Bombyx mori: one gene and its partners. The protein of the gene in region 3 interacts with the protein of the main gene of each other region in a pairwise test. Links are inferred from orthologs where the notes say so. Each region holds a gene or a part of one and is shown on either strand. Other genes may lie near its edges. The genes, in order: SH2 domain-containing protein 3C, paxillin and breast cancer anti-estrogen resistance protein 1.

Region 1 (3,164 bases), on a different chromosome or scaffold from region 3:
TATGATCTTACTGAAGCAAAACTACTTCAATCGGACAACTTGGACTATGTTGTGGAATCAAGGATAAATTTGGGAAGTTTTCAATCCATGATAATACCTACGGGTCTTACGAAGCCACTAGAATCTGAAACTTTGCACGCAATCAAACTACTCTTGAGAACATCCGGACCCCGCATCCTAGCAATTCATTTGACGAAAGTCGATTTGTACTTTTTATTCGATGATGCTATTCAAATTGAGGGGTTAGATAAAACTGCGTCTGGTTTGGAACTATGTTTTTTACCGCAAGGACGACCATTGCGAATGGACGTGATTGAAAGGTAAGACGTGATAAGACTAGTCTTGCCATAAATACTGTTACAAGGAAAACATCGTTTATTTTCTATTACCTACATGAAATATTGAGTACTGAGTTATTTTATATATTAATATAACAGCATTCGCAAATAACTCTAAACTCATTCAAAATTATCTCTAGTGTCCTTAAAACAATCCTTCAAATGTCGTGGTCAATTATCAATTGGAACACACTTTTTCATAATAGAAAAATATGCAATAATCTTATGGATTTTCAAGGGCATCCAAATTATTTTGAGATTTGAAACATGATATACTATCTCAAAGAGTCCATAAAAGATGATCAAGTGGAAATAGGAACGAGTGCGCTTAATGCGAGTTTTTAAACTTCTCGATCGTGTAAAAGTTAACTCTAAAAAGAAAAGTGCGATGGAGTTGGAACGTTTGCCTACGTTTGCCGCTAGAGACGCTGTTTCAACTCCATACAAATTTGAGTTAACTTTTACGTGATAGAGAAGTTAAGAAACTCGCACTAAGCACACAGACAACGGTTAGTTTTCAATTTTCATTGAGTCAGAAATGTTCATTTCCAACCAACCACTAGTGGGTGAATCGAGTTTTATGCCCTGGTTCTAACTTTTATTAAATGGGCCATTCTAGGTTCTGAAAAATGGTGTTGTTGAGAGGTATAGCCTACTCCTCAAGAATTGTATCTTGTACCAGGTGTTTCTAACTAATTCAATAAGTTTTTCACAAAATGTTATCCATTCGTCTATAAATCCAACACTGAAGCTGGATAATGCCCACGTTGTATCTTACTGATCAATTAAGAAGCTACTCGAAATTTAGAAATATTATTTTTATTTTGTTGTAACAGAATTTATAGCCACACTGTGTATGTAACTTAAGATGTTATAATCAAAAAGTTTAATTGTTTCGGTGCTTACATTTATATTGATTGTTCTATTTTCAGAATTGAGACCTTTCGACTCCTCATTGCTGTAACTGTATTGACATGTCAAACAGATCGGCAGCGCGCAGACACACTAAATGATTGGATCGTACTGGCTATTGAAACGAAAACTGCTTTAGGCAATCTGTATGGATTTTCAGCTATAATGTTCGGACTGTGTATGCCTCAGGTAGACATTTTACGAGTACACACAAGTAGAAAGATTTAACAATAAAAAAACTGAATGTTGATTCAATGTTTTAGGTGGAATGTTTAGAGAACGCTTGGAATATTCTGAGAAGAATTTACACTGATAACGCATTTATGTTTGAAGCCAAGCTACGACCTAGTTTCAAAAGTATGAACGAGGGGACTAATCCTTTACCTCCGAATACGACTACCCCATACATACTCCCTCCAGTTCTATGCTTCCATTTGTTTGGTAAATAGATGATGTTTAATGTGATATTGAAACTTGGGGAATATATTTGAGAGTAGATATTGATGTCTGACATTAAATTACTGTTTTAGATGGCGATGGCGGTTCGTTGATTCAACAGGACGACACGTTTCCAGGAAGTTTGATGAACAGTATTGAATTCGATTTCAATGCGACTGCCGCGCATCTCGAAGCCGCCCGACAATTTCCTAGTCAAATAGATATGTTCAAACGGAACTCTAGGACTGTCGTACAAGAAATGTCTTCTTTGGGACCCACTTTAGATCCTAGATTATTGGAACTTTTCCGGACCGAGTTTCATATTAATTTTTTATGGGGTGAAAGAGGAGCTCTCACAACTCCGAATCAAAGATTCGCGAGGCTCACCGACATCCTGACTGCGATGGCCAACAAGCTGGCCAGCCAACCATCTGGAGTTGATGATATTGTGTAATTTTGGATATAACGTTTTGCAACACTACGACTTCCTCTGTAAGATTGTGACCATATCAACGATATTCATTTAAGTGCGACATTATATTTGACGAATCTTTTTTTTTTGTTTAGCTGGTGCAGCTATAGCTGTTGTGGAATTTAGCGAAGCCGAAAAAAATCTTTTTATACATGTTTAAGCTATAATACATTTTATAAAATAATGTGAAGGAATTGTAACTTTAAACAAATAACTGCCAATGTAACATTTAAAGTGCAAATTTTAGGCAAGCTAGATGTCATGTAATATTTAAAACTAGTTTATAAACTGTATGTTAAACAAGTAGCTGTAATTTTAGTTTCAACTTTAGCTAATACGTATTTATCTTTGTTATACATTTATAAAATTATCGTAATAAATGCAATATTATTGTATTCAAATTTTATTACAGAAACCTTTAAAATCCTAACGATAACTTAGGGAAAATCATATTTTGAACTATTTCTTCACAAGACGCTTACAGGACACGTTGCTGATGAATGAGTAAGTATGATCGTTATTGGAAATTGATGAAATAAAAATATATAAAATATTTATCTATGCAAAGATATTCAAGGTCAGTTGTAGTATGTAATTCGCGCGAAAGCGACTGCTAACGACGAAATACGTTTTGATCAATGAATAGTTTAATCTCTGTAAATTAAATGATCAGCTTTAATAAAAAAAATCGCGTAAAAACATACAAAATATACACGATGAATTTTTCAATTCTCCGGCTCTTAGATATGGATCTGCTGAATATTTGAGTTATTTTTTATAGTTCACAATTTTGTTTTCTTTTGCCTTTTGCTCTTACTTTACTGAATCGATATCTTCTTCACTAAGTACATATCATACTGTTAATACAAGTTGTTTTTAAACAAGCAGCATGTGCGAATACTGTTTGGCGAATTTATTTATTTATTCAAAGCTTTCTTATCCCTTTTTGCGTCATTTTCTATTGGTTTTAGTTTCACAACCACTTCAAAAAAAAAAAATTTAAA
Region 2 (3,663 bases), on a different chromosome or scaffold from region 3:
TTCTGCTGTGAAGCAGTAATGCGTTTCGGTTTGAAGGGTGGGGCAGCCGTTGTGACTATACTGAGACCTTAGAACTATATCTCAAGGTGTGTGGCGCATTTACGTTGTAGATGTCTATGGGCTCCAGTAACCACTTAACACCAGGTGGGCTGTGAGCTCGTCCGCACATCTAAGCAATAAAAAAAAAAAAAAAAAAAAAAAATATACCCGGATATAATGATAATCATAGCCGGGGATAAGACACATGGCCACCTGGGCCCAAACTAGAATTCCTGTACTATGGAAACCAGAGACTGGTATGCATACTCATATACTCATAACACTTGTTTATTGCCTTTGTAGGCAGACGAGCCCAAGGTCTACCTGATGGTGAGTGGTTACCGTCGCTCATGAACGGTAGCAATGCGAGAGGTACAGCCAAGCCGTGGCCTAGCGCTAAGTACTCTCCGTAAGTTTCGTTTGAACACTGTGAAGGTGAGTTCATTCCATAGTCTGATGGTACGTGACAGAAAAGGTCTCTGGAAATGCACTATGGATAAACGCAGTGGTACTAAGTAATATGGATGTAATAATATGGAAATAATAAGTAGTATGGATGAACTCTACTCGGGAGGCGGGCAGTGCGATGGTAAAAACGAAATGATGGGACTATCTCAAAGAATTCCTTATAACACTCGCCATAGAACACCCAGAAAAAGAAAAAACAAACATGTTCATCACACAAATGTTTCTCCAAATATGGGAATCGAATCCACGACCCTCGGCTCTGAAGTCTGCAGGAACGCTAACCAACTGTTACACTAGCAAGTAAGTCGAAAAGGATAAAAATATTAATTAAACTTTCTATACTGTTGTCTGTGACACCGGTTTTTTTAAATTTTATAAAGTATGTTTATAATGGGCGTGTTCAGGTTAACAATGAACTTTCTTAATCATACAAAAAATTAACAGCATCCATTCAGGGCACGATTTCATTTGATTCTTATCTTGAGCACACAAAACATAAGCCCCGTGGACTTCTTATCAACAAAATTGTTTCATAACGAATCGATCAACAAAGCTGATAAAACTCCACGCACGGTATCTGATGAAACATGCCTATTTTATAATCAAGATAAACAAGATCTTTTGACTTGTGTCACTTTTTCTTTTCTTTTCAATTAACGTGGCAGCCAGACAATCTTGCACCCCATCTCATTTACAGGGTCAACCGTTTCTGGCGATGCCAGGAGCGCAAACAAGCTGTTGTCTACTCACTTAGGACTCTTTTCATTACTATGAAGGGGTCATATCATAGTTTTAGGAAAACGCTGGAAGTTTCCAGAAACGGCTAGTGCATGTCAACAGTTATATGTTCACGTTAGGAGAACGCTAATCGAATTACTTTTTGAGCGATTTCTAACCATTAACAATCTACTAATCATTCGTCTATCAGCAATACAATGACTAGTTCCAGAAAGGGCTGACGCATGTTAATTCTTCTTTATTAATAATTGTAGTTTAAACTCAAAAATGATTGCGACGTTGAAGTCGCAGTGGGCAGGACATATTGCTCGTAGAACGGATGGCCGTTGGGGCCAGAAAGTTCTTGATTGGCGACCGCGTACCGGAAGACGTAGCGTGGGTAGGACTCCCACAAGATGGACCGACGATCTATCGAGGTTCACGGGGATCCGCGGGATGCAGACAGCGCAGGACCCGTCTTTGTGGCGAGGCTTGGGGGAGGCCTATGTCCAGCGGTGGACGTCTGTGGGCTTATAAGAAGTTAAACTCACCGAAGCAGGTTTTGCATAATCCGAGCTAATATTCCTAGATCCATTGATGGATCCGTAGCCGGTGGAGGTGGGGGAACTCAGGCTGCCTGACGAGCTGAGACGGCCCGGTGAAGTGCCTCTGCCTAGAGGAGACCCAGTTCTGCCCGGGGAACTGGTGCGACCGCCGGGCGACGTGGTCCTGCCGCTGGGGCTGCTGACTCGGGCGCCGCCAGGGTTGATAGAGTTCTGGAGGTCGGCAAGCAAAGCATCTGGAATTGAAAAGGATTATGATTTTTATAATGTGTTTACGATATGAAATTACAAAGTGAATGTAAAACACGTTTTTGACGAAAATTTAAGCTTTGAATATAACTAGTCAGGTCATAAGTACTGTCACACAGTTAAAACTTTTCTTTTAGAATGCTGGCCACAAAAAAGTTTATTGAATTCGAATTTCGAATTGTTCATGAAAATAAAAATGTATACTTTTAGAATTTTACTCATTTTTAAATATGAAGTGTGGACGCTTAAAGAAGACCGTGTTGCAGTTATTGCGTTGCATCGTTGCGGTTACGCGCCAATTCAAATTTTTAACATACTGAAAAATTTGAATTTAACCAAAAGATTCGTTTATCGTACCCTCAATCGATACAATGAAGACTCTAGTGTAGATGACAGGTCAAGAAGTGGTCGCCCTCGGTCTGTTAGGACTCCAGCAGTGATAAAAGCTGTGAAGGCGCGAATTCAAAGACATCCCAAATGTAAGCAAAAACTGTTGGCCCTTCAGATGGGGTTAAGCAGAACCACGGTGAAAAGGCTTAGGGCTTCGGGCATATCGAAGAAAAACAGGACATCGTTTGAATGCTCGTCTAATGGACCTGAGACTGAAGAGATGCCGCGCTTTGTTGAAGCGGTACGCGGGAAAAAAATATCGGGAAATTCTTTTTTCGGATGAAAAAATTTTTACCGTAGAAGAGAGCTACGACAAACAAAATGATAAGGTGTACGCACACAGTAGTGAAGAAGCGAGCAACTGTATTCCGTGTGTCCAACGACCTCATTTTCCATCCTCGCTCATGGTATGGTTGGGAGTTTCTTATTGGGGCTTAACAGAGGTACATTTTTGTGAGAAAGGTGTAAAAACGAATGCAGTTGTGTATCAAAATACAGTCCTGACGAACCTTGTGGAACCTGTTTCTCATACCATGTTCAATAACAGGCACTGGGTATTCCAACAAGATTCGGCACCAGCTCATAGAGCGAAGAGCACACAAGACTGGCTGGCGGCGCGTGAAATCGACTTCATCCGGCACGAAGACTGGCCCTCCTCCAGTCCAGAATTGAATCCGTTAGATTACAAGATATGGCAACACTTGGAGAAAAAGGCGTGCTCAAAGCCTCATCCCAATTTGGAGTCACTCAAGACATCCTTGATTAAGGCAGCCGCCGATATTGACATGGACCTCGTTCGTGCTGCGATAGACGACTGGCCGCGCAGATTGAAGGCCTGTATTCAAAATCACGGAGGTCATTTTGAATAAACTTTAGTGTCATAAGAATCTATGTTTTGTTAAGTTCATTTTGGTATATGAATGGTTACATAATGAATAAACTTGTTTCAATTATTTTACATTAAACATGTGACAGAATTTATGACCTGACTAGGTATATTCATATGCATGTAGTAGTAAAAAGCGGTTATTTCAATATTACAAACAGACACTCCAATTTTATTTATATTTTAGGTATACTTAGTCTGGCCATAAATACTGTTACAATTAAAAATAAACATATATTACATTTGAATTTGGAATCTGTCATTTTTATATGATATTTCATTGAGTTTTCTCAAAATATAGATATAGAGAACCAAATCGCTGTGATTGCATTACACAAAGTAGGTATGGAG
Region 3 (3,763 bases):
CATTTAATAAAACTGGGTCTGAATGGCTGACCACAAGGCGCCAATAAAACGAAACAAATGATACAATGGTCCCCGATATAGTGACGTGAATTAACCTTAGAAAATGACCTCACACGTGGATAGATCGAGTGCTATACAATAATAATTTAACAACTACATATTATGTCAGTTTCTGTGAATGGTGAATCTATGAATCACACCAACTCATGCGGTTCCAATCTGCGTACAATTAATTTTCATTGTTTTTAATTATCTTTAATTTAAAATAAAGTACAAGTCATATAATATTATAAAATGATATTCTTCTTTCGTATGAGCATTTATTTTTATTGCAATTTTTTGTTATCATTGACAAAATGTTGTGAGTGTTTTGGTTAGAATATTAGGTAGAAAGGTAAACTAAAATGGTCTTAGCCCTCGATGTTAAGTTGCTACCTGAACATTGAACCTCAAGCATCACCCTCTAACCTTGGGATCGGAGCTTGAAGTCTCAATCATATGTAATGTCTTACATTTCAAGCCAGGACTGATTGCTTCGGGGCAGAAATAGGCGGATGGTAGTACAAACACGTGCTGGTTCACAATTACCATAAAATCAGTGGTCACGTTAATAAACTGTATAGGTTTGAACATAATGAAAACTTAATTTGTACACTAAAACTTTTGGCCCATGACAATAATGACGGTAAATCTTATTATTTATCTATATATATCTTGCACAATAATAATTGGCCAAAGGTCACAAACTGGCTGGTAATAATAGGCTCCTGTCTCAGTGTCTCAATATCTCGAAACGGACATAAATTTAATAAGTGCGTCGATCTTAATGACGTCACTGTGACTCAACTGGTTCCAATAACGGTTATACACTCGTTGTTTATATAAATAAATATATTTATTATATTTAGTGTTAATATTGTTTCAATCAGTTCACTTTGTAACTTTGTGGCGATCACTTGTGTCTCATTACTAGTGCTTGATTGATATACAGACTTTGTAAAGTATTTTGTGAAATTCAATAATAAGTTCTAAAAACAAATATAGTTACAGAAGGTTGGAAAAACCAGTGTTCACAATGTGTAACTGTAAATTTAACCTAAAAATTAGCGTTAAGACATGCTCCATAAAATGGGTAAACATTGTAAGTTGATTTGATTATTAGATTATTTTATGCGTTTTTTCTTTCTTATCTTGTCTGCTGGAATGTTACATGCTGTGCTTTAAGTCGTCGCGGCCTAAAGGATAAGACGTCCGGTGCATTCGTGTTGAGCGATGCATCGGTGCTCGAATCTCAGGCGGGTACCAATTTTGCTAACGAAATACGTACTACATACGTACGTTCCGGTCACCGTCCTCATCGAACCCGTCGCTTACGACGAAGGGTTCGACGAGCGAACTAACCCATAGACACAGCCCACTGAGTTTCTCGCCGGATCTTCTCAGTGGGTCGCGTTTCCGATCCGGTGGTAGATTCTGCGAAGCACTGCTCTTGCTAGGGTCAGTGTTAGCAACTCTCCGGTTGAGCCCCGCGAGCTCACCTACAAACGTTAGGGCGAAGCTGAAATAGCCTTTCAAGGCTATCAGCAAAGGTAGGAAAAAAAAAAGAATAGAAATACGTACGTAAAAAAAAATGCTGGCGGCAATAAATCTGTTCCATTTTGTTCGATATCGAGCCTCTTTTAGTTGGAATTTGGAATATCATAACTTCACAAATTACTCTAAAATCTAGTCGCACTACCATCTAGGTGATCGTTCCAATATTCAATAAAAAATTAGAAAGATTATTCGTCCAACAATAGTGCTATAGGAAATTAATTGTTCGCTTATTTTGAAGCTTTCTGAAAAAAAAAGCTCGTAAGATTTCACTGAAGGCACGCTGCACAGAACCGAGATTTGATTTTTAATTCATTCAGTCTCAGACCGGAAAGTAATATTGCGATTTTTTTTAAAAATAAATATATATAATCTAAATCAACTTTTAAAATACGTTACTTTTATAGCATTCGGACTTCGGGACATCTGAATTCTTGGTCAAATTTGTCCCAGTCTAGGCATAACTGTTCTCTTTATTTTTGCGTAATTATCTCAACTTTTTATCAACTCCTCAATTTATCTTGAATTGATACAAAGTGAAGTATATTAATGTATCCCTAGATTATGGTTTTGGTATTAAAAATAATGATTCCTTTATTCACGAGCGAGTAACGCATTCTAAAATGATCCTACGTGTGTTAACATGATATTCAATTATTTTTTTTTGGAAATTGATAAAATCGACATGTACCTAATAAATTTAATATTTCGAAAACGTCAAGAAGAGCGCAACTAGTATGTATTTATATTTACGTTTTTTTTTTTGGACATAGCCTGTCAGAAACATCTATACTAATATTATAAAGACGAAAGATTTGCTTGTTTGTTTGTATTGAATAGGCTTCGAAACTATTGAACCGATTTGAAAAATTCTTTCACTGTTTGGAAGCTATACTATTCCCGAGGGATCTTTACTAAAACTCCAATAATGTAACCCAAGGTGTAAAAAAATTACCTAAAATATTTTTTAGTGCGCTGCGATAAGCAATTCACGATACAATAAAAGAATGTACTACGACTTTGTAGAACACATTATTATTTACAAAAAATGCCGCGACAGCAAATGTCTAACTAATATAGTTATGCCGCAATAAGTGTTATTTTATTTTTTAAAATAAAACAACGTCAAATATCCTTGAAATTTTTGTTAAAGACCCGAGCGGAGCCGGAGCGGGCCGCTAGTCGTAAATAAATGTAGTACATTTAACAATACTGTCTCAGCAAATAGACTGCACTCACTCCGCGTAACCGTATATCTATTTTCAATATCGAATAATACTCGGGAATTATAAATAAGTAGATATAAATTTCTGCCAACATTAATTATGATAAGGGAAAATAGTGTTATTTTAAAATATGTAATGATTTCATACGCCTTTGTTACCTACATTTTCAAATAACAGTCAGAGTGTGTATGTATTTTAGAAAAAAGCTCTTTGATTACCATTTTTGGCGTTGCCAATAAATAATAATGATTTTATCAACACCGGTTTTCACTAAAACTACTCGACAACCACAAAAATTTACTTGTTATAAGTACTTATCAAATTTTAAAAATGTGCTCCTAAATACGGATGATAATTAAATTATTTAACTACTGTTCCATTGTTGTCAATAATATTGATCGATTAGAATCGACTGTCAAACGACGGGATACAGAAACTGTCATTTTATGCGCCGGTGGAACGTAGGACGCGGTTTTGTCGCAGCTGCATGTCGGCAACATATGCGTTCGACATTGTCTAATACTAATGGGGATGAAATACGACTGACACATTGAAGTTTATCACGCTTTTGTCCTGTAACGAAATTGATTTGATGAACGTGAGCAAAACTGATTATTAGGAGACTATATTGTAAAGCCTAAGCCTAAAGTAGAACACAAAAGACAAGAGTTTTACTCTCGAAAGGATTTTATTTAAATCCAAAATATATTGGCTTTTCTGCTTGAGTGTTAAGTTTCGAAGTGTCGCCTCCGAATCAGTTTTCGATTCGTTTCTTGATTGATCATTATGATATTGGCATGTGGTATTTTCCGAAGATTATCTTCTTGAGTTATTAAGTCCTTATCGCGGATTAACAAATCACAAATTTGTTTAAAGTAGCTATAGCTATAGCATTAATATCTAATTAAGGAACTCTAAGACCCTTCCTTTGTTTCTGAAAGAAT

Evidence for each region.
Region 1: the proteins of breast cancer anti-estrogen resistance protein 1 (region 3) and SH2 domain-containing protein 3C interact in a two-hybrid assay, tested with the Drosophila melanogaster proteins (2 studies listed by BioGRID). The link is inferred for Bombyx mori from reciprocal best matches to the Drosophila melanogaster genes p130CAS and CG9098.
Region 2: the proteins of breast cancer anti-estrogen resistance protein 1 (region 3) and paxillin interact in a two-hybrid assay, tested with the Drosophila melanogaster proteins (2 studies listed by BioGRID). The link is inferred for Bombyx mori from reciprocal best matches to the Drosophila melanogaster genes p130CAS and Pax.

Annotation. Positions count from the first base shown.
Region 1 is NC_085107.1:15,460,555-15,463,718, reverse strand, and holds the end of SH2 domain-containing protein 3C, read left to right. Parts: coding exon 1-320; intron 321-1,270; coding exon 1,271-1,439; intron 1,440-1,513; coding exon 1,514-1,691; intron 1,692-1,780; coding exon 1,781-2,142; 3' UTR 2,143-2,555; downstream 2,556-3,164.
Region 2 is NC_085116.1:14,656,618-14,660,280, reverse strand, and holds part of paxillin, read right to left. Parts: intron 2,024-3,663; coding exon 1,776-2,023; intron 1-1,775.
Region 3 is NC_085117.1:10,879,599-10,883,361, reverse strand, and holds the start of breast cancer anti-estrogen resistance protein 1, read left to right. Parts: upstream 1-960; 5' UTR 961-1,075; coding exon 1,076-1,141; intron 1,142-3,763.